Linked DNA regions of Nothobranchius furzeri. The protein of the gene in region 1 interacts with the protein of each later gene in a biochemical or structural test. Links are inferred from orthologs where the notes say so. Each region holds a gene or a part of one and is shown in the gene's direction. Other genes may lie near its edges.

What was found.
Region 2: of the proteins of irak1 (region 1) and irak4, one has a biochemical effect on the other in vitro, tested with the Homo sapiens proteins (2 studies listed by BioGRID). The link is inferred for Nothobranchius furzeri from reciprocal best matches to the Homo sapiens genes IRAK1 and IRAK4.
Region 3: the proteins of irak1 (region 1) and irf7 form a complex in vitro, tested with the Homo sapiens proteins (2 studies listed by BioGRID, with this or other methods). The link is inferred for Nothobranchius furzeri from reciprocal best matches to the Homo sapiens genes IRAK1 and IRF7.
Region 4: the proteins of irak1 (region 1) and ikbkg form a complex in vitro, tested with the Homo sapiens proteins (3 studies listed by BioGRID). The link is inferred for Nothobranchius furzeri from reciprocal best matches to the Homo sapiens genes IRAK1 and IKBKG.

Annotation. Positions count from the first base shown.
Region 1 is NC_091755.1:47,771,561-47,776,560, reverse strand, and holds the end of irak1 (interleukin-1 receptor-associated kinase 1), read left to right. Parts: intron 1-80; coding exon 81-149; intron 150-319; coding exon 320-407; intron 408-773; coding exon 774-868; intron 869-1,908; coding exon 1,909-2,338; intron 2,339-2,425; coding exon 2,426-2,506; intron 2,507-2,629; coding exon 2,630-2,748; 3' UTR 2,749-3,446; downstream 3,447-5,000.
Region 2 is NC_091744.1:60,867,907-60,872,101, forward strand, and holds part of irak4 (interleukin-1 receptor-associated kinase 4), read left to right. Parts: intron 1-41; coding exon 42-106; intron 107-170; coding exon 171-285; intron 286-355; coding exon 356-465; intron 466-687; coding exon 688-874; intron 875-2,521; coding exon 2,522-2,584; intron 2,585-2,707; coding exon 2,708-2,872; intron 2,873-4,195.
Region 3 is NC_091744.1:76,075,801-76,081,058, forward strand, and holds the end of irf7 (interferon regulatory factor 7), read left to right. Parts: intron 1-517; coding exon 518-689; intron 690-774; coding exon 775-869; intron 870-950; coding exon 951-1,002; intron 1,003-1,087; coding exon 1,088-1,207; intron 1,208-1,880; coding exon 1,881-2,077; intron 2,078-2,182; coding exon 2,183-2,384; intron 2,385-2,460; coding exon 2,461-2,576; intron 2,577-3,421; coding exon 3,422-3,613; 3' UTR 3,614-4,037; downstream 4,038-5,258.
Region 4 is NC_091755.1:44,548,737-44,554,179, forward strand, and holds part of ikbkg (NF-kappa-B essential modulator), read left to right. Parts: intron 1-268; coding exon 269-343; intron 344-622; coding exon 623-829; intron 830-1,089; coding exon 1,090-1,151; intron 1,152-1,591; coding exon 1,592-1,639; intron 1,640-1,818; coding exon 1,819-1,921; intron 1,922-1,994; coding exon 1,995-2,110; intron 2,111-2,197; coding exon 2,198-2,350; intron 2,351-2,436; coding exon 2,437-2,710; intron 2,711-5,443. UniProt on the Homo sapiens protein: Regulatory subunit of the IKK core complex which phosphorylates inhibitors of NF-kappa-B thus leading to the dissociation of the inhibitor/NF-kappa-B complex and ultimately the degradation of the inhibitor.

The DNA of each region.
Region 1 (5,000 bases):
GCTCCATTCTAAAAAGAAATTCCTTCAGGAAGCACAGCGCGGTTGACCTTCTGACCTCAGGAGTTCACCTTGTGTTTCAGGTGCTGCTGGAGGTCCTGACTGGGCGTCCAGCTTCAGAGCAGGACCGGACGTACGGAGAGAAGTTCCTGGTCAGAGCACACGCACCCTCATGTGTTTGATTCTGGTCTCACGTGAAATAATTAGCAGCTGGGTCTCCAGTGGTCTGCAGACGGCAACACTAAATAAAACATTTTAACGAGTTATTTCTGAAGGAGCTTTGAAATATCACTGTGTGTTGGGTTCTGGTTCTGGTTCCCAGAAAGACCTGGTGGAGGAGGTGGAGGACCATCCAGACGGCTCGTCTGCAGAGGCGTGGAGAAAACATCTGGACCGGCGACTGGTTGCAGGTGTGTGAAAAAAGCTGCAGCTTGTTTTCTGGTTCAGTCTTCACATCCTCACAGAAATCAGTCAAGTCGTCACGTCAGTCAGTAAATCATTGATTAGTTAAAAAAATCACCAATAAATAAACAAATAAGTCATAAAATCTTCAAAAGAGAGTCGATCTGTCAACGGGGGCTCCATCTTCACCACAGAGCGCTGGTCTTGATAATCCTCTAGATCTCCTGCTGCTCACTTCCCTCACTAGTGAACCTCGACCCAGAGGAGGTGACCCACCCCCCATACCAGAACCATGGCCTTGGATATGATCCAGACTCCTTCAGAACTTGACTGTTCTGCTGCGTTTATCAGATCCATGATGCTTCTGTTTGCAGGAGGAGCTGCAGAGCCTGATGGATACCTGCAGGTGGCAGCACTCGCCTGCAGAAGCCTCCACAGGCAGAGGAAGAAGAGGCCAGCGATGAAGGAGGTCAGGGTTTACTTCTTCTGCACGTCTCTGATCCGGGTCTAGGTTCTTGTTCCGGTGCATTAGTAACAGGTTCCAGGTTGCTGTCCCCTTTTTAGCTCCAGCTTCCAAGCGGTTCCAAGCGTACCGAGCAGGGCCAGAACAGCCGCATCACTGCTTGGCTCTAGGGCGGAGTCACGGGTCGAAAGTTTTCCTCCGTCCTTCCTGCCAAGCCATCCATCCATCATCGGCCGCTTATCCGAGGTCGGGTGGCGGGGTCTCTGCCTGCTGCCATTTCGTGGTTGAGTCTGGGAAAAAGCCATAAACCATCCAGCATCACTGTCACATGACCAAACAACGAAACATCATCACCCCCTCGCCCTCTGAAGCAGATATCAGCCCAGCTTTACTTACCGGACCGATACCGATGCAGACATACGCTGCATCCCTACTGCAGACGCAGCACCATCTCCCGATCCATCTTTCCCTGGCACGTGAACAGGACCTCATTCCTGACCCGGAGAAGGCCTTCTACCCTTTTTCGACTCAGACCATAGTCTCCTGGGTGGTGCCTCCCACAACCCCACCCACTGGAGTCGTAAAGGAATACCTCGCTAAAAGGGCCAATCGAAGCTTTTCAGGTGATCCAAGGAGAAAATTCCCAGCCTTTGGATACAGAATTCCTGAATGTGGCCGTAGGAACATTGGGGTTTCTCCTGCTTCCCCTCCAGATCACATGCGTGTCTCACCTTTACAAAATGGTCTCGCACATCTTTAGGAGCCTGTGCAGGAGTTGCACATCAAAACGTAGTTCTCCTCTTACCGTCTGTGGAAACTGTTGAGCCCTAAAATCTGTGACCTTTGACCCAAGGAGGGCGCTGTGGGGTCTGGAGCCACGCTTAACCAGGTCCAGCTGCGGTGTGGAACGTGGACAAACTGTTGACACGGGGGCTGTTCTACGTCTGGAGAGAAGAGGAGAATGTCCACCTGTCTTCGGTCCCGGTCCTCTGTCCGCCCTACGAAGGTGTCCTGCTGTCTCTCACTGATGAGTTTTTTTCTTTCAGGTGTTTGACAAACTTCACGGTCTCAACGACGGCGTGAAGAAGGCCCAGAACCCCTACCGGTCCTTCCCCACACCCCCCAGCTCTCTGGACCCCAGTGTGGAACCCTGCGACTCCTACGCCGCTCTCACCCCTCCCAACCGCCTCCTCTCCTCCTCCCTTCCCCTCCCCTCCACCTCCTTGGCCGGCCCGTGTGAAACAGACGAGAGCCGAGGATGCTCCCAGTATGAACTCCGGTCTCAGACCAGCTCCCAGGACCACAGTGTACGGCGGCCTCCAGAACACCAGTGCCACCAGCCTTCGGTTCCCACCGAGGATCAGTACAACTTCCCTTCCCAGTCCAGCAGCATTTCCGGGCCCGGCGCCGTGGCGACAGAACTCTCTGGGTTCTCTCCTGCAGGTTCCCTCCAGTCGGCCTCACCTCAACCCTCAGGTGTGTCAGCATCCGGACCAGAACCAGACCAAAGGTTGTTCTGGTGTTAGCGGTTCGGACCTGTAACCCTGTTGGTGTTCTGTTCAGTGTGTTTGTGTCCCAGTCAGGCGCCCCAGAATGAGCTGGACCGGACCAGAACCCCCGAGCTGCAGTCATTACCTGGCTTCTGTACGTAGAACTCACAGTTCCAGGTCTCAGTCCAAACGGAGTTCCTCGTTTTTCCGGTTTGGTCCTGATTCCCGAGGTGTTGTTTCCAGACTGATGTTTGGTTCTGGTTCTGTGTTCGGTCAGGTGGAGGGACTCGTTCTGAGGAGCTCAGAGGACCAGAAGAAAGCGACGAGCTGGATTATCTCCAGGACAGAACCATGGAACCCCAAATTAAGAGGGAGTTCTTCTCAGGACCACACTAACCGGACCGGACCGGACCGAGTTCTGCTGCCTTCTTGACTCAAACGTTTATTTATTCGTGATCGTTTCACAAATTCAACAGACAAGCATTTCCGAATCCTTCTTGTAAAACACCAAACATTTTAGGCTGTGAATGGATCCGGTTTCATCACATCAGAACCGATGAGTTCTGGTGTGCCGACCACATTCTGGACAGGCGGCCGAGTCCCAAATGTCTCCCTGACAGGGACGGCTGTCCCCTCCCGTCTCCTCTGATGGACTACATGACAGATGTCCCCAAACCAGGTTTCATGAGCGCGTGGAAACAACTCCAGCCTCCCGTTTTCGCTCCGGATCGTCTCCAGAACCGTCCCATCATGGACGAGTACGTTATTCCTTTTTCTTCCTCCGTGAAATAAACACCAGCCGTTCTCCAGCAGGAGGGCGTCTCGGGGTCGACGTTCCAGCAGAATTCCCTTCCAGGACCAGAAAAAGCTTCCAGTCAGAGAATCACTACAATTCCATAATGATTAATAAATAAATAACAGGTTTGTTGATGTTCCAGCTTGATTGATGATGATTGGCCACATTTTTTTCATTATTTCTCCCTAGCAACCAAACGCGATTGGCTGTTTAGCTTCAGGATTCAGGAAGTTCGCTGCTGAATGAGCCCGTTTGTAAATGACTGTTTGCAGACATTAGAATAAAACTGACTTCTTTATGTTTGTTCATGTTCCTCCCCTCCACCTGTGGGAGGATGGCGCCCCCTGTGGGTGTAGGTCCTCACCACAAACAAACCAGTAATCACCAGTTACTGGACTTCCAGAACCGCTGGTCAGCTGGGAGGTCAAAGGTCAGACCCTGTGACCCCCCCTGCTCCTTGCTCAGGTGAACTTCACCTGAACAGGATGCTCTAACAGCCGCTGAGCAACTGCTGTGTCTCGTGCGCGCGCAATGGGCGAGGCGTGTGCGTGTCCGTGGTCGTGAGCGCGCCTGTGGTGCTGATGCTGCAGCGCGGCTGAAGAGGAGGAGGTGGAGGATGAAGAGGAGCGATCAGATCAATGATCCCACATGATCGATCAGACCAGCGGACAGGGTTCGGAACCGGAACGAAAACCACGTGACTGCCCAGGTAATCCAGGTAGGGATGCGCGACCCACTCCGCTCATTTATGAGAATTGGCGGGGCGCGTGCAGCAGCGCGTGCGCCGTGTTGTTAAACCAGGTTCGGTTCGGCTCTTTTTTCGAACCGAGCTGAAACAACTGAAGTCCAGCTGTTTACTCTGGGGAGGGGGGTTCGGGTTCGGGTTCGGCTCGTTTGGATCTAGTGTTTAGCTGCTGCTGGTAAACAGAACCGGGTGACACGTGACAAGTTCGCTGCAGGTTCAGGAACATTGATTAGTGGCGGGAGTTTATAGTCTCGTGAGGTGTGTGAGGCACAACAGGTCACGTGACCCCAGCTGGAGCGTTCCTTTATGTTGACATGTGAAGTCAGCTGATTCCTGCAAACAAACAAAAAACATCCAAACAACAAAACTTCACGCTGATGCCGTTCCAGCCAATCAGAGAGCAGACAAATGGTCACGTGACTGAGCTCTAAAGGTTTCCTGTTCGAAGGTGAAAACAAACAAACTGGAGATGAATCGAGGACCGGTTCTGACCCAGTGCATCAGCGTGGAGCAGACTCCTGGTTCTAGAGCTGGATCACAACCATGAGGTCAGAGTTCACTCAAGAAACCTAAAGTGGACCCGGGCCCTCTGAAGGACTGGTTCTGATCAGCTTCTGCTCCATTAGAACAGATCTTATTTGGTTCTGAATGAAGATCATAGACTCAACAGGTTCAGGATCTGGGTTCTGGGATGGTTCAGTTTCAGCTGCCGATGGATCTTTAATTTAACACAGTTCTGTTTGGGTTGAACAGAACCTGAATAATGCCAGAACCAAATGAGTCCAAAAAAGATTCTGACCCAACCAGTGGCATGAACAGAACTGGGCCCCTACATGTCATCATACGCAGAAACACATGACCGGACCCGGGCTGAGTTGGTACCGGTCAGAAGATTCAAACGGGTCCAATTCTGCTTTTTAATCAGAAAAGTAAAGCCAACAAATGCAAAGATCAGAACCAAAGGTGCTGCTGGGCCTCAGTCAGAACCCCGAGGCCCAGCTGCTGCAGAGTACCGGTCAGGTCCTCCCAGAGTCCCACAAACCCAGGTGATGGATTCTCCTTCTGCCGCAGTGCCTCAGAGCCAAACGCCCAGTGTGTGTGTGTGTG
Region 2 (4,195 bases), on another chromosome or scaffold:
GATGTTTTGGAGTTGTGATGCAGAAACACGGTCTCTTACAGGTGGAAGACATGCCGCTGGACAAGCTGAAAGTTCAGTTCGACCAAGAAATCCAAACTTTGAAAGTGTAAGTTGTGTCTGTCTGTCCTGCTCCCGGTAAACTCAGCTGACTCACCCTGTTCACTCCACAGGTTGAAACATGAGAACTTGGTCGACATGATTGGATTTTCCTGTGATGAGCAGCAGCTGTGTATCGTATACGCCTTCATGGCGAACGGATCTCTGCTGGATCGACTAGCCTGCTTGGTAAACACCTTTCTTCTCTGCTCTCTAACACCAAAGCAAGACGTTTACCTGCTTGTGTTTGTCCACGAAGGACGGAAGTCCTCCCTTGTCCTGGAGACAGAGGTGTTTGATAGCAGAGGGGACAGCCAGAGGGTTGGAGTACCTACACCTGAACCATCATGTACACAGGGATGTCAAAAGGTACATAGATGGAAGTCCTTCTGCAGTAGGGTCAGGATTAGGCTAACCCTGACCTTTAAATGTTTCTGTCCTGCTGGATTTAAGATAAAATTATTTTAAACATGAATCTGCAGCCGGCAGCTGATCGGGACTGCCTCTTAGCAGAAAACATCAACAAACAAGCCAAACACTTCTTCATAATAAACAAAAGTAAAATACTTTCTGTACATTTTCCCCTTTTAGTGCAAATATCCTGTTAGATGAAAATCTTGTGGCAAAAATCTCAGACTTTGGCCTCACAAGAGCTTCGGCCAAGCACACCTCGACAACCATGATGACAGAGAGGATTGTGGGTACTCGTGCATATATGGCACCTGAGGCACTGAGAGGAGAAGTCACCCCCAAATCTGACGTCTTCAGCTTTGGTGTGGTGAGTTTCTCACTCGTGCGCGCGCACACACACACACACACACACAGTGTTTTCTGCCCTTCTGAGACTTTTCAGTATTTGCTACTATAAACTTCAGAAGAGACAACACAAATGTGGATCAGGGAATTGCAAATGAATGCACAGAGAAGGAAGTAGACATATTCCTGCTCATGACGCCGAAAGACAAATAGAATGGAGTCTGTAGAAAGTTGAGCGGTAATTTAATATCCACGGACACGTTTAGCATCTGTGTTTATGTCCGTAAACCAGAGATGGGAATCGTGGCATCAACAAGTCATCTCCATGTTTTTGTTCTGCTCAGCACCTGAACACGTTTCATTCGCTGTGCTGATTGAAATCACCTGGTTTAGTTGTTAAGCTGAAGAAAAACACGGCGCACGGACTTGTTGATTCCACAATTCCCCATCTCTGCCGTAAACACAGCTGGCTGTGGGTGATGTCACTTCCTCTGTGCATAAGGGCCACTGCAGGGTCGTGAACTGTTTAAGCCTGATGGTAGTGCTGTTTAAATAATATTGTGAAGGATAATGCAAAAAATACTTAAAATAGAATCTAGCCTTAAACATTTTTAAACGCACCAAGTTAGAAATCCTTTAAAAAAATCACGAATTTTAATGAAGAACCTTCAGACTTTTAAACTGACTTAAAAAAAAGAGCAACAAATGATTAACAATAGAACAATAACATGTATTTATAAGGACCATGTAGTGTCACGGTTCAGTGTAGGTAGGACCCAAAATGCAGTACCCAGGATGACACGAGGCTGAGATGATGATTAAGAAAATCCTTTATTTTAAGGAGAACAAAAATAAGTCCAAAGGCTGGAAGCCAAAATCCAAAAAAGTCCAGATAATGATCTGGACATCCAAAAAACACTCGAGACACGAGAAGACCAAGAACACAGTAATCCAAGACGAGAGAATGGACCGACACCAAACAGAGACAAGACAGGGCTTAAATACAAAGAGAGAACATTTAAGGAAACAGGTGTATGGAGTGAAGGCTGGAGAGAAGACATCTAAATGTGGGAAACAGAACCAATGGAGGGCAGATAACCTCAAACCCAAAACTAAACCTAAAACAGAAGGAAGGACTCACACAAACACTGAGCAGGGGAATGGCACAGTACCTGGGAGGAATTGACTTTACAACATAAGACACCTAACTGAAATGCAGACAAAGGACACATGAGGGCGCTAAGAGACACAAAAGGGAATCTAGAGAGGGATGGAGGACAGCAGGAGGCACATGAAGAAAGGGGCAGACGCAGACCATGACATTTAGAGCATGTTCTCTACATGTATGTGAAGGTGTGAGGACCGTGTAAACTGAAGGAGCCGAGGCTGCTGAATAGGTGGTAAGAGTAAAGGTGGATGGATTAACGACTAGTTAATTACCAACAGGTTGCATATGAATTAATGTGGTAGCGGTCACAGGATGTTGTAACCACAGGTTAGCAGTTCCTGTCATTCTGTTTCGTTTTTATATGGAAACAATGTTCACCTGAAATTCTATTTAATGCTCCTCTCATCCGTTCAGCTGCAGGGATGCGACCCATTTAGTTATAATAAATGTTTCCTGTTGCCCTGAGTGCTGTAATTACCCCCGTCTCTCTGCCATCTACAGGTGCTGTTAGAAATATTATCTGGACTCGCTCCGGCCAATGAGAACAAGGAGCCTCAGCTGCTGGTAAGCTGCACAAAAGAGGCTTTCTCTGTCGGGCTTGACTCTGTGACTACAGCTCAGACCTAAGACGTCAGGACTGGGTGGAGTCAAATCAAACCCATGTTCCCATTTTCTCTCTCCCCTCAGATGGAGATCAGGTACGACATCGATGATGAAGATGAAGAGCTGACTCTGGAGGATTTTGTGGATAAGAAGATGAGCGACTGGGAGCTGAGCCAGGTGGAGACCATCTACTGTTTGGCTTCGAACTGCTTACATGACCGAAAGAACAGACGGCCGGTCATCAAACAGGTAGTGAGGCACGAGACACAGCTGTGGTACATTCAGAGACAAAATACAGTTTTAATGAACCCGTATTTAACTGAATAAGTGAAAAGGTTCATAGTAATTTAATATTTCTTTTACCAGCTGGTTTTAACTCATAAAACAGAAAACAAGTCTTATATACTTGTTTGAAACCTTTGTAGCTGAAGTTTTGGGTTCATTTATCAATCTTCACTGAAGCTTTTACAGATAATGGTGCACCTGACCCTACACACCACTAGGTGTCGCTAAAACTGCAACATTCCAGTCTGGGAACTCCTATTCTTCCATATTCACTGTTGAATCTTTTTACAAAGAGATCAAAACTGGGAGGGGAATCTAAATAAAAGGCATTCAGCCAAATAAAATATTAATAAAAATAATGAAATCAGAGTAACTTTTCAAGGACATGTGATTCAAATCCCAGGTTTCACAAGTTTGTAGGATTTCCTTTTTCCACCTTCGGAATATTGCTAAGATTAGATGCATCCTTTCCAGGAGGGATGCTGAAAAACTAGTTCATGCATTTATCACATCAAGACTGGATTACTGTAATTCATTACTCTCAGGAAGTCCACAGAATGTAGTTAAAAGTCTTCAGCTTGTCCAAAATGCTGCAGCTAGAGTTCTGATGAGAATTAAAAAGAGAGATCATATCTCTCCTGTCTTAGCTTCCCTACATTGGCTACCTGTTAAATTCAGAATAGATTTTAAGATCCTTCTTCTCACATATAAAGCTCTTAATAATCAAGCTCCATCATACATCAGTGATCTGATTGTTCTATACGTTCGTAATCGAGCACTTCGCTCTCAGACTGCAGGTCTACTGGTGGTTCCAGGAATATCTAAAATTAGGATGGGAGGCAGATCTTTTAGTTATCAGGCTCCTCTCCTGTGGAACCAGCTCCCAGCTTTAGTCCGTGAGGCAGACACTTTGTCTACTTTTAAGAATAGGCTTAAAACATTTTTATTTGATAGGGCCTCATGGAGGGGGGGGGGGGCATCGACTAGCACACTGCTGCTAACCACTTAAACATTCTCTCTCTCCTGATAATAACTTTTTGGTTTCCTTGACTTTTGATGTGCTAATTCTAGTTTATCCGTTTAATTATAGATCCACTAGGATAAATACAATAAAGTTTATCTTTCACCAAATAGAATATTTACTAAGACATCACAATATAACTGTAGACACATTACTTGTGTGTGTGTGTGTGTGTGTGTGTGTGTGTGTGTGTGTGTGTGTGTGTGTGTGTGTCTGTCTGCTCTGTCTTCTCGATCCCCAGTGAGTCATGGTGGATGGCTGCTTAT
Region 3 (5,258 bases), on another chromosome or scaffold:
AGTGCATTATGGGAAGCTCCTTTACTTTCAGAGCTATTATATTGGTATTTCTGAAACATTTAACTAATTTAACCCCTTAAGCCCTAGGGTCCCCTGTGATGTTAGCTCCTTAAAAGGGCCAAAAAACACTCACACTGCAGAAGAAATAGTAATAATTCCCATCACATTAATCAGCAAACCCAGCACTACAAGGCTATCTAAACTATTTTTACAATTAAATACAATTTCTACCACTTTTCGAGGAATAGGCTTCAAAATAGGCCTAGGGCTTAAGGGGCTAAATGAAAAGCCATAGATTGTTTGTCAGCCTATTTAATTTTTATATTTGCATTTTCTACTGACTTTCTTTATTTTCAATATCTGAGTTGTTACTTTTTAAAGTTCAGAGTACAGTAAGCCCCAAACTTTATTCAAACTCTGAAAGTATAACGTTAAAATGAAAAATTCATTTCAAACGTCCAGTTTCACAAACATAAAACGTATTTGGGCTCATGCCGCGTGTGTCTGTGGTCCACAGGCCTGGGCAGTGGCAAGTGGAAAAATCAACGAGTTCCCCAACGACAAGGCCAGGTGGAAAACCAACTTCCGCTGTGCTCTCAACAACCTCACCATGCGCTTCAAGATGATCAAAGATGATTCCAAGAATCCAGACGACCCTCATAAGATCTACGAGATTGTCAACACTGAGTGTAAGAGCGTTGATCCAGCTCAGCAGTGGGAATCGTTTTGAGTTATTGGGAGAAAAACCATAATGATCCATTCTTCAAATTGCAGACAAAATTGAGGGTCTTCCAACACAAGACTCCGGTTGTGATATGACTCCAGAGATTTACAGCCCTTCCACAGAGTTCTTCCTCTCAGGAAACGAGGTGCAGTTTAAGGAACTTTCACTTCCGTTAAGTGGTTGGACATCTACTCGAATGCTCACGCTTTTTCCTTTTTCCACTCAGCATAACCTACATAACGATTTAATGGCTCTGGATCTTGGTACTCAACCAACAGGTATAATTTATATTAAAAACAACCTTTTTTACAATGTCTGTGGTTTATTATAAAGCTAAGAAGCCCATTTTGAATTTGGATACAGATGAGCAGCTGTGGGGGGAGAATTGTGTCCAGCACGACCCCGCGGTTCTTGGAAACTATCCTGCTGCAGCGGAGACCCTCCCGCCATTTTTACCAGACGATCAGCAGATCTACAACGACAGTATGTTCAGTCAAAGAGAGTTGAGCGATTTATTAGAAAACAAGCAAAAAAAGTTGTGAAAAATGGTCCTTTAAAGGTGTTTTTTATCGAAAAAAACCCACTTTTAATGATTGTTTCTAATATTTATCGGTCACTGAGTTTTTCATGCAGGCTGAACGTGAAAATAGTCTCCTACACCTATCTCCTGCATTGGCTTCTGAAGGAAAATAGACTGTGAAACTCCAGGATTAGAAACGCCTGACAGATCTACGTCACACTCACGACGGGGAAGGCTGTTGTTGGTTTAGCGTCGAGGAAACAGCAGGGAACGTCTCGGCTAGTAGAAGCTAACTTCTAGAATTAGCAACTCCACCACATGACAAAACAGTTCCAGGCTTGTGTTATTTGTAGAGATAAAACATCAATGTTGCAAAGTCAACGGGGTCAGTAGAGTCGCATTGCTTTTACCCAGTCAGAGGTGAGATGTCCAAATTTCAGGAAATAAGACTCCAAACCCTGCCGTCTGAAGCTCTCCTCTGATCTGGCATTCTTATAGATCCCGAAGCAGGCGCACCAGGGTGTCTTTTCCCCAGAGTACGACTTAAAAGGCATTCATTCCTACTAGAGACCACTGCAAAGGAATTGATTAAATGAGTGAACTGCACCTATAAATATCCCCGCCCTCTCTTTACAGTAAACCACGCCCCCGTCCTCGGTTCACCTCAGCAGCCCAGTCTGTATGACTTTGAGGTATTCATCTACTACAGAAATAAAAAAATGCTAAAGACGACGGTGCAAACCAACCGTCTTCAGCTCCACTACCACAGCGAAATGCCGGGCTTGCATTCCATCTGCTTTCCGTCTACTGAGGGTCTGCTGGATCACAAGCAGGTACACCCAAACATGGAAGACCTTTTCATTTGCGTCGCTTTAAAACTTGTTTTTATGCATCCTCTGTGATGTGATCTGTTCCTGTCCCGTTCTTTTTCATCACAGGTCGAATACACTAATCGCATCCTCAACAGCATCCAGCGTGGTCTTCTCCTGGAGGTGCAAGATACTGGTATCTACGCTTTGCGGCAGGACAAATGCCACGTCTTCGCCAGCACCAGCGACCCCAGTGTTGCTCAACCTAACCCATCTAAATTACCCAAAAACACCATGGTGGAGCTCCTCAGCTTTAACAAATTTGTTCATGGTGGGTTTTCATCTTTTTAATCAAACCAACGTCAAGTCTAAACAGAAACTAACGGCCCAAATGTGTCTGCTTTTAGAGCTCAAGCAGTTCACGGAAAACAATGGCGGCTCTCCCGAATACACCATAAACATGTGCTTTGGAGAAAAGTTCCCTGATGGAAAACCTCTGGAAAAGAAGCTCATCACCGTGAAAGTAAAACTTCTGTTCACATCTTCCAGCATGTCACCGAATTTTTTTAGCTCGTATTAGCTCATAGACGTTTCAATTCAATTCAATTCAAGTTTATTTATGTAGCGCCAAATCACGACAAGAGTCGTCTCAAGGCACTTCACATAATAAAAATTCCAATTCAGTTCAGTTCATTAAGCCAATCAGAAATAATGTTTCCTATATAAGGAACCCAGCAAATTGCATACAGCAATCCTCATACCAAGCAAGCATAAAGCGACAGTGGAGAGGAAAACTCCCTTTTAACAGGAAGAAACCTCAAGAGAATCCTGGCTCAGTATAAGCAGCCATCCTCCACGACTCACTGGGGATCGAGAAGACAGAGCACACACACACACACACACACACACACACACACACACGCGCACACACACACACACACACACCAAGTAATGTGTCTACAGTTATATTGTGATGTCTTAGTAAATATTCTATTTGGTGAAAGATAAACTTTATTGTATTTATCCTAGTGGATCTATAATTAAACGGATAAATTAGTATTAGCACATCAAAAGTCAATGAAAACAAAAAGTTATTATCAGGAGAGAGAGAATGTTTAAGTGGTTAGCAGCAGTGTGCTAGATGATGGCTCCCTCCATGAGGCCACCACAGCTCAGCAGAACATCGTTGTAGCTTCTTCTGGGGAGAAAAACACTTAGAGAAAATAAAGTTAACAGCTGAAATTGCACAAAATAGTACAGTTAAAGAGCAGACTGTAGAAGAATGCAGTAGAGTGTGAGAAGTGGTCAGTGTGTCCTCCAGCAGTCTAAGCCTATAGCAGCATAACTACAAATCCTTCCTCCCTGCAGGTGGTGCCTCTGATCTGTAAACATCTTCACGACGTCGCCCAGGCGGAGGGGGCTTCTTCTCTTCACAGCACCAACGTCAGCCTGCAGATTTCCCACAACAGCCTCTTTGATCTCATCAGCTCGGTGTTTTCTCCGCCTGCGGCCGAAGAGCCGGCACACCTGACTAGTGCACCCTTCCTTAATCAGATGTGAAATCTGATTTCTTTTGTTAAAGTAGCTTAAGTGAGAATCACTTTATGTCCATAACATAATAGATAAACTGACTTTTTTAACCACTACATGAGTAGAAACAAGCTCATCCATTAGCAAACTGTTACAAACCCATTTTTATAGAAGAAATTACCATTTAAAAGTAATGATTTGTTGAGCTGGTATCATCTGTTTGTTATAAGAAAGTAAATCCTGTTTAGGTTTTATTAATATATTTATTATATGTAAAGATAGAAATATTTGTATATTACTCTTCATGTGTGTTACGTTCTGTTTGAACATCAGTTAAACCTTTACTGCTGGTTACTTTTCTTGTCGTAACAAATAGAATTTGCATTATTTAAATAAGCTTGAATGTTGTAATCTTTATCATGTAAGGTGATCTAATAAATATATTTGTAGCGTAGTAATTATTGTATGTATTTGGGTGCTTTTAAAGCTTAATATACTACCCTACACTTTGACCAATGTGATGTGAATTTCCATATAAATATGGGAATCCAGTCTGATTGGTCTTTAACCAGAAGGTTTAGAATGATTTGTTTATTCTGGGATTGTAGAAGACTTTGCATTAATTCAAGAAGAGAGTCAAGTTTATAAAAAGTAAGAATTTATTTTCCAAACAATTAAAACATGACAAGTTAACTAAGACTACTGTGATGGATGGATCTAGGTGGATGGGATGTAATGTATGGTGACTGTGTGAATGTGAGGTTATCAGAACTTTCGCATCTAGAAGAACTGAGTTCTGGGTGTAAAAAGGAGAATTTGGTTTGCTTTAACCAGGAAGTTGATTCTTATCAAAACCACATCAGACGCGATTCATGCTGTGTCTACCTCACCCTTTTGGAAGACCCTCTTCGCAGATCCGGAGGTCAAGAAGGTCGGATGACCTCTGGGCACAGAGGTTCAGTAGATTAACCGCAGCACCGACTCTCCAGTCCAGAGATGTTTCCCGAGTCACAACAGATCGATGGAATTGTTTGCGTCTAGAAGGACTCTTAGGGAGTCGGAACTGGGTCAGCTTTGTTCTGCAGGAACCGTTTGCTGTGTCAGCTTCAGCGTGTAGCAGGGTTTTTGACAGCTTGTCAAAAATGCTCTGGGTTAAAGAGGTTTCGCTCCGGACGGCCGTTCCGTAGCTTTCTCTGGAACTGACTCACGGTGAAGTGAGCTCTGTTTTAATATTCTCATGTTATGGTTTACTTGTCCAATCGGAACGTGCCATGTTAAGAGGTGTTAACAAGCAAACCTCAGAACATCACGCCTTCTTTCAGATACAGGATGCTCTGATTTGTGGGTAAGAAAATATGTATGTGTCATAACGTTTAACTTTAATTTATCTCTAATGAACCTTGTGTCTGAGTGTAGATGATGATTACCTTGTCATATCAAACATTACTGATCATCATATATAAATCTTTCAATGTAATAAAAACACTCATTTCAAACCAGTCATTCAAGCACAGATTAATCAACCTTATTAATGTAAGCACAGATTAATCAAGTTATTATTATTATTCATATAACATTTGTTCATTCAACCACATTGTTCATTCACTATTATAACAGTTCAGTCCTTTCTTCTGTGCAGGACGGCCTAGATAAGAAGACAGACTTGGCACAGAAG
Region 4 (5,443 bases), about 3.2 Mb from region 1:
ACAGCGTGTTAGCCTCGTTCACTTGCATTCATTGTGTCTTCATTCTGGGGACCGTGGTCCAGAAGTAGAAGGGTTAGGGTTAGGCTACCGACGGGGAGATGTGGTTGTTCAGTCAGGATGGAGACAGTAAAAACTGCAGCTGTCAACAGAAATACAGCAAACGTTTGTAATCAGTACGCTGCTCTTGAGTATCAGGATGCTTCTGTGAGGCTGAAGCAGCCGATGGACTTGGTGCTCTTCTAATCGGAAGTCTGGTTTATGTTTCCAGACTCTGGACCAGTGGGAGAGGAAACGGGTCGATGAATCAGAACAGCAGACTCAGACCACCCCGCTCCGCAGCCTGGTGAGCTGGTCCCGTGTGCCGTAGCCCCGCCCACTCTCTGACATCCCCACCTCATATTATGGTCTGTAGAATAATGTCAGACTGCTTCAAACAGCAGCAAACATGAATATTATTTAAAACACAGTTTTATGACTTGACTCAGCTAAATAAACGAGGTCCCGCCCATAAAACAGACCGACGGGACGATGGCGGTAGGACCACGAGTGAAATGGAATGGGTCCTGAACCAGTGAAATGGGCTGAAGTTGGTTTTAGATGACATGTGTGCTTCCCCCTTCAGCCTGTGGAGGGCGCCAACGAGTTCCTGCAGCTGCTGAAGAGCCACAAAGAGAAAACAGAGGAAGGGACGAGAGAACTGAAGAGGAAGACCGAAGAGCTGGAGAGGAGAAATGAGGAGCTGATGAAGAAGATGGCGGAGGGAGAGGAAGACAAAGAGCAAATGCGGCGTTGCATCGACCATCTTCGATCCAAACTGCTGCAGGCGCAGGTGACGCTGTGATCTGAGCATGCTCAGACTTCTCTACGTAGTTTTATTTATGTTTTACATTACGCTGTAACTCCGCTCCGGTCCTGGAGGTCCGGTATCCGGCACGTTTTGGCTTTAACTCTGCTCCAGCACAGCCCCTGATGAGCTGCTGCACAGGTGAATCAGGGAAACCACTAAAACGTGCTGCATACCGGACCTCCAGGACTGGAGTTGAATACCCCTGTTCTAGCACCTCCCCTATGTGTGCGTGTGTTTTACAGGCTAGCGGCGGCGCCGAGGAAACCGTTCTGCTTCGCTCTGAGGCGCAGCATTCCTCCGACTGGTACGACACCGTCCACCGTCCCGCGTCCCAAACCCGCTCTGACCCGAACTCTAGCTGCTGGATAACTCTGATGCAGATTACAGATGCTAGCATGCTACTTCTCTCTTCTGCTTAACTAAAACCTTTAAAACTCCTTCTCCTCCTCCTCCTCTTCCTCCTCCTTTTCCTCCTCCTCTTCCTCCTCCTCTTCCTCCCCCTCCTCCTCTTCCTCCTCCTCTTCCTCCCCCTCCTCCTCCTCCTCTTCCTCCTCCTCTTCCTCCCCCTCCTCCTCTTCCTCCTCCTCTTCCTCCCCCTCTTCCTCCTCCTTTTCCTCTTCCTCCTCCTCTTCCTCCTCCTCTTCCTCCTCCTCCTCCTCTTCCTCCTCCTCCTCCTCCTCCTTTTCCTCCTCCTCTTCCTCCCCCCCCCCCCTCCTCCTCCGTCTCTTTTTGTCCCTTTTCCAGTTTGGGCTTGGCTAAGCTCACAGAGCAGCTCCAGGCCACTCAGGGCAGGTGAGCCCGCAGCTCCTCTTCCTCTCGCTGTCTTCGTGCCGTCCTGCTCGTCGTTCTGTGTTTTGCTGTTGCTCGTCCATCACGCGTGCTGCAGATTGTTCTGGTTGATGAACCGCTCTAATGACAGTCGCTTGAGTGTGTCGCTGCAGCTGGAAGTGACGCACGAGTTTCCTCTGCAGGTACCGGGAGTTGGAGGAGAAGCTGGACTACCTGCAGAAGAGCTCGGCCCAGCGAGACAGAACCGAAGCTCTGCTCAAGCAGAAGGACAAGGACTGTGCCCAGGTAGGACAGTCTGAGTGTGGAGCTTCAGCTGGCGGCTCTGGTTTGGTGGTTTAAGCTGCGTCTGCTTTTGCAGCTCTCCAAAGACTGTGAGACTCTGAAGGTGCAGGTAACCTCCCTGTTAGGAGAACTGAACGAGAGGCAGAGCTGCCTGGAGAAAAGCGATCACGAGCGCAAAATTCTGGAGGAGAAGTGAGCAGCTGCATCGTGTCAGCATCCCTGTAAACACGGAGCCTTCTCTGATGCTTGGGCTGTGGGTTTTGCTCCTGTTTGCTCCAGGCTGGTCAGCAAGGTGAAGTCCTTGCAGGCAGCAGAGCGGGAGCTGGAGCAGCTGAAGAAGCAGCACCATGTGGCCAAGGACAAGCTGCTGCTGCAGGTCCAGAGCTTGGAGCAGGCGCTGAAGACGGAGAGACACGTCGTGACCGAGGAGAGGTGGCTTCCCGCTGCGATAGCGACATTCCCATCAGAAAGGGCGTGTGTGTGGAGAAGCTGAGCGTTTCTGTTTCCTGTCCCCTCAGGAAGAAGCTGACGCAGCTGCAGCACGCCTACACCTGCTTGTTTAGAGACTACGATGCCAAACTGAAGAATGAGGTGAATAAAGTCGCAGACACACGCCCAGCGTTGCTTCTGTTGTGCCGACTCTGGTCTCTCCTACAGGAGGGAGATCTCAGCAGCCGACTGGAGGAGGCGGAGCGAGCGCTGGCGCTCAAGCAGGACACCATCGATAAACTGAAGGAGGAGGTGGAGCAGCAGAAAGGCTCGCTAGAAACCGTCCCTGTCCTCACTGCACAGGTCGGGTCACTCTCTCTCCTCCTGTCTGCACCGCTTTACTTCACCAGGCTCCGCCCTGGTGTCTACACACTCCAGCTGTTTCAGGTCCTTACTCTGGCTTTACAGGACGGAAGGGACACCGTCACCATTGGTTTTAAAGTCACAGATTAAAGGGATCCTGTGCAGGTCAGCTTGCCTTTAGCACCCCCTAGTGCCTGAAACGCGTCAGTGTAACAGCTGGAACGTCTCCTCAGCCTTCGTTAGCGTCTGCAGGAGCGGTTCCTCGCTAAAGCCAACCACTCAGCTGAGCTGGTGGTCTAAAACGTGCCGAAGCAGCTGCAGCGCCAGCAGCTCAGCTCTACTGCACCAGCAGCCCGGATCGACGTTCTGAGGTGATGAGTGACGTTTTGGGCGGTGGGGTGGGAGAGACATTCGTTAGGCCTGTGAGGGTCGTTTAGCGCATACTGGCTCAAGGAGATGAGGTGAAGGTGAAAAGGTTGCTCTCTGCTGCGGCGCCTGCAGTTGTGCTAAATGCTGCAGCCCGTCTGCCAGCGGGACTCGGCGCTCTGAGCACATCACCCCCTTCTGCCTGCTGCTTTTAGGATGGATTTAAATGTTTAAACGGACAGGCACCTCCTTACCTACCAGAGATTCTGAACTAGCATGGTCCTACGAGACGTTTGAGGCCTTTAGAGTCCCAGGACTCGTCTAGTGACCCGAGGGGACGGGACCGGCTCTGCTGTGGGCCCAGACTGCAACAATCTGTCCCTGCCACGAGGACGGCGGAGTCTCTGAATGAGTTTAGCTTGGCTTTAGTCTCAGGTGAGCGTGTTGGTCCTGTCGTCATGGTACTTACTGTCTGGCTTGTACTGGACAGCCTGTGGCCGCTCTGCTGTGGAAAGGCTGGTCGTCTCTTTAAAGAGCTACTTGCTGGTTAAACCCGCGTGCAGAGACACATGACAGGAGCTCCGTCTAAACAAAAATGGACACATGCATAAATGATTTAGGCTTTTGGACTCGTCTTTGTGAGAAAAACCTTTTTCCTGCCTAACCAGACGCGGCGCAGGCAGAGGGAGTCCCGTTAGCCGGCTCCAGAGAAAGAAACCGACTCTGATGCTGCTTCTGACACACAGGAAGTGTCTAATTCTGCTCATGATGGACCACAACATGGGACAGCAGCTCAGGAGGTAGAGCGGGTCGTCCAGTAATCAGAAGGTTGCAGGTTTGATCCCGGCTCGTGCTGTTGTGTCCTTGAGCAACACACTTAACCCACCCTGTGTGCTGGTGGTGGTCGGAGGGACCGGTGGCGCCTGAGCTCAGCAGCCTCGCCTCCGTCAGCGCGCCCCAGGGCAGCTGTGGCTACATGGCAGCTCCTCACCACCAGCGGGTGAACGAGTGCTTGTGTGTGTGTGTGTGTGTGTGTGTGGGGGGGGGGGGGGTTGTAGAAGACAGCCACACCGGTACGAGCCTGCTGCGCGCCCCACAAAGCAGACGAGCCAGAGGGAGAAACCATCGCTGTGCTGTCAGAAGGTTCTGTGGAGCGCAGGGCAGAGAACGATGCTAGCTAAACTGGTGTGCTAACATCACTATGTTGTACGGATTACGAGTGTTTGACTCGGGAATATCCGAACTTGTAACGGAGCTCGGCACTTGAGAGAGCGAGACGGCTCACTTCCTGTTCTGGAGCTCAGGGCGGGCGGTCCTGAGTTGGGTCTGGTGCTGACCGGCTCCAGCAGCCCGCCGGGTATTTTTAAAAGCCTCACTTCCTGTTCTGGAAGATGGGAGGCTTGTTGATCTCCATCAGATCGCTGGGATTGTAATCCTCTGGTCCGAAGTGGGCACCACTACCGACCCCTGGAACGGAAGATGGTGCGTTTTTCCTTCTGGGAAACCCGTGGACTCGATGTCCGGAGACGCTGAAGTGCAGCCTCCACAAACGCTAAAGTTCACCTTCTTAGGAACGTGTAAACAAGTGAACACACACACACACACACACACACACACCCTGACTGGATAACAGCCGCTCTACCCTAAAACTACCTACTGGCCACACTGAGCTTCAGGCAGGACTAGCTGATGACTCCCCTGGTTATAATCTCTCAGCTCAGCCAGCAGCACGGTGAGGTTTTACCCCGTGAGGCGGAAAATATCTAAGTGGTCGGATATTCACCTCAGCGTCTCGTGAGACGGAAACCTCAGTGAAAATCAGGCGCACACGGCGAGTTTCTGCTGAGCTGACGGCCGTTCGAGGCCGTTTGCTGAGCAGTTGGCTCTCGTGTGCGGCAGGCTGCAGCCACATGTTCATGTAGCAAAACCTTATTAAGTATCTGAGCTCTGCTGATGTCTGGGTTGTAAAACGTGGTTTAATGAGCTAGAGATCACTCATACAACCATCCCACGTCCGTGTGCTGATGTACGATGCCCGTGTGTGACCGCAGCTCTCGGCGGTCCAGAGAAGAGGCGGCCAGGTTGGTGATGTCACCAGATGGGAGTGGCTCCTCGTTCTCACTGGCCATAAGATGCCACCAGGTCTGCTAGTCAGGCGTTCCACGTCTGATGAGTTGTTGCGTCTGATTCTCACAAACGTTGCAGAGAGGCTTTGAGCACGAGGTCCAAGTGCTTTGCTCACTGGGAGGCGGAGTAGAACTGGCTAGTCCAGGAAGTGACCTAGCTTTAGTTAACTACTGCTGACAAATTTAGACAGATGAACAAGTTTTAACGGCGCTACCAGAGCACCTGGTTCACGTTAACATT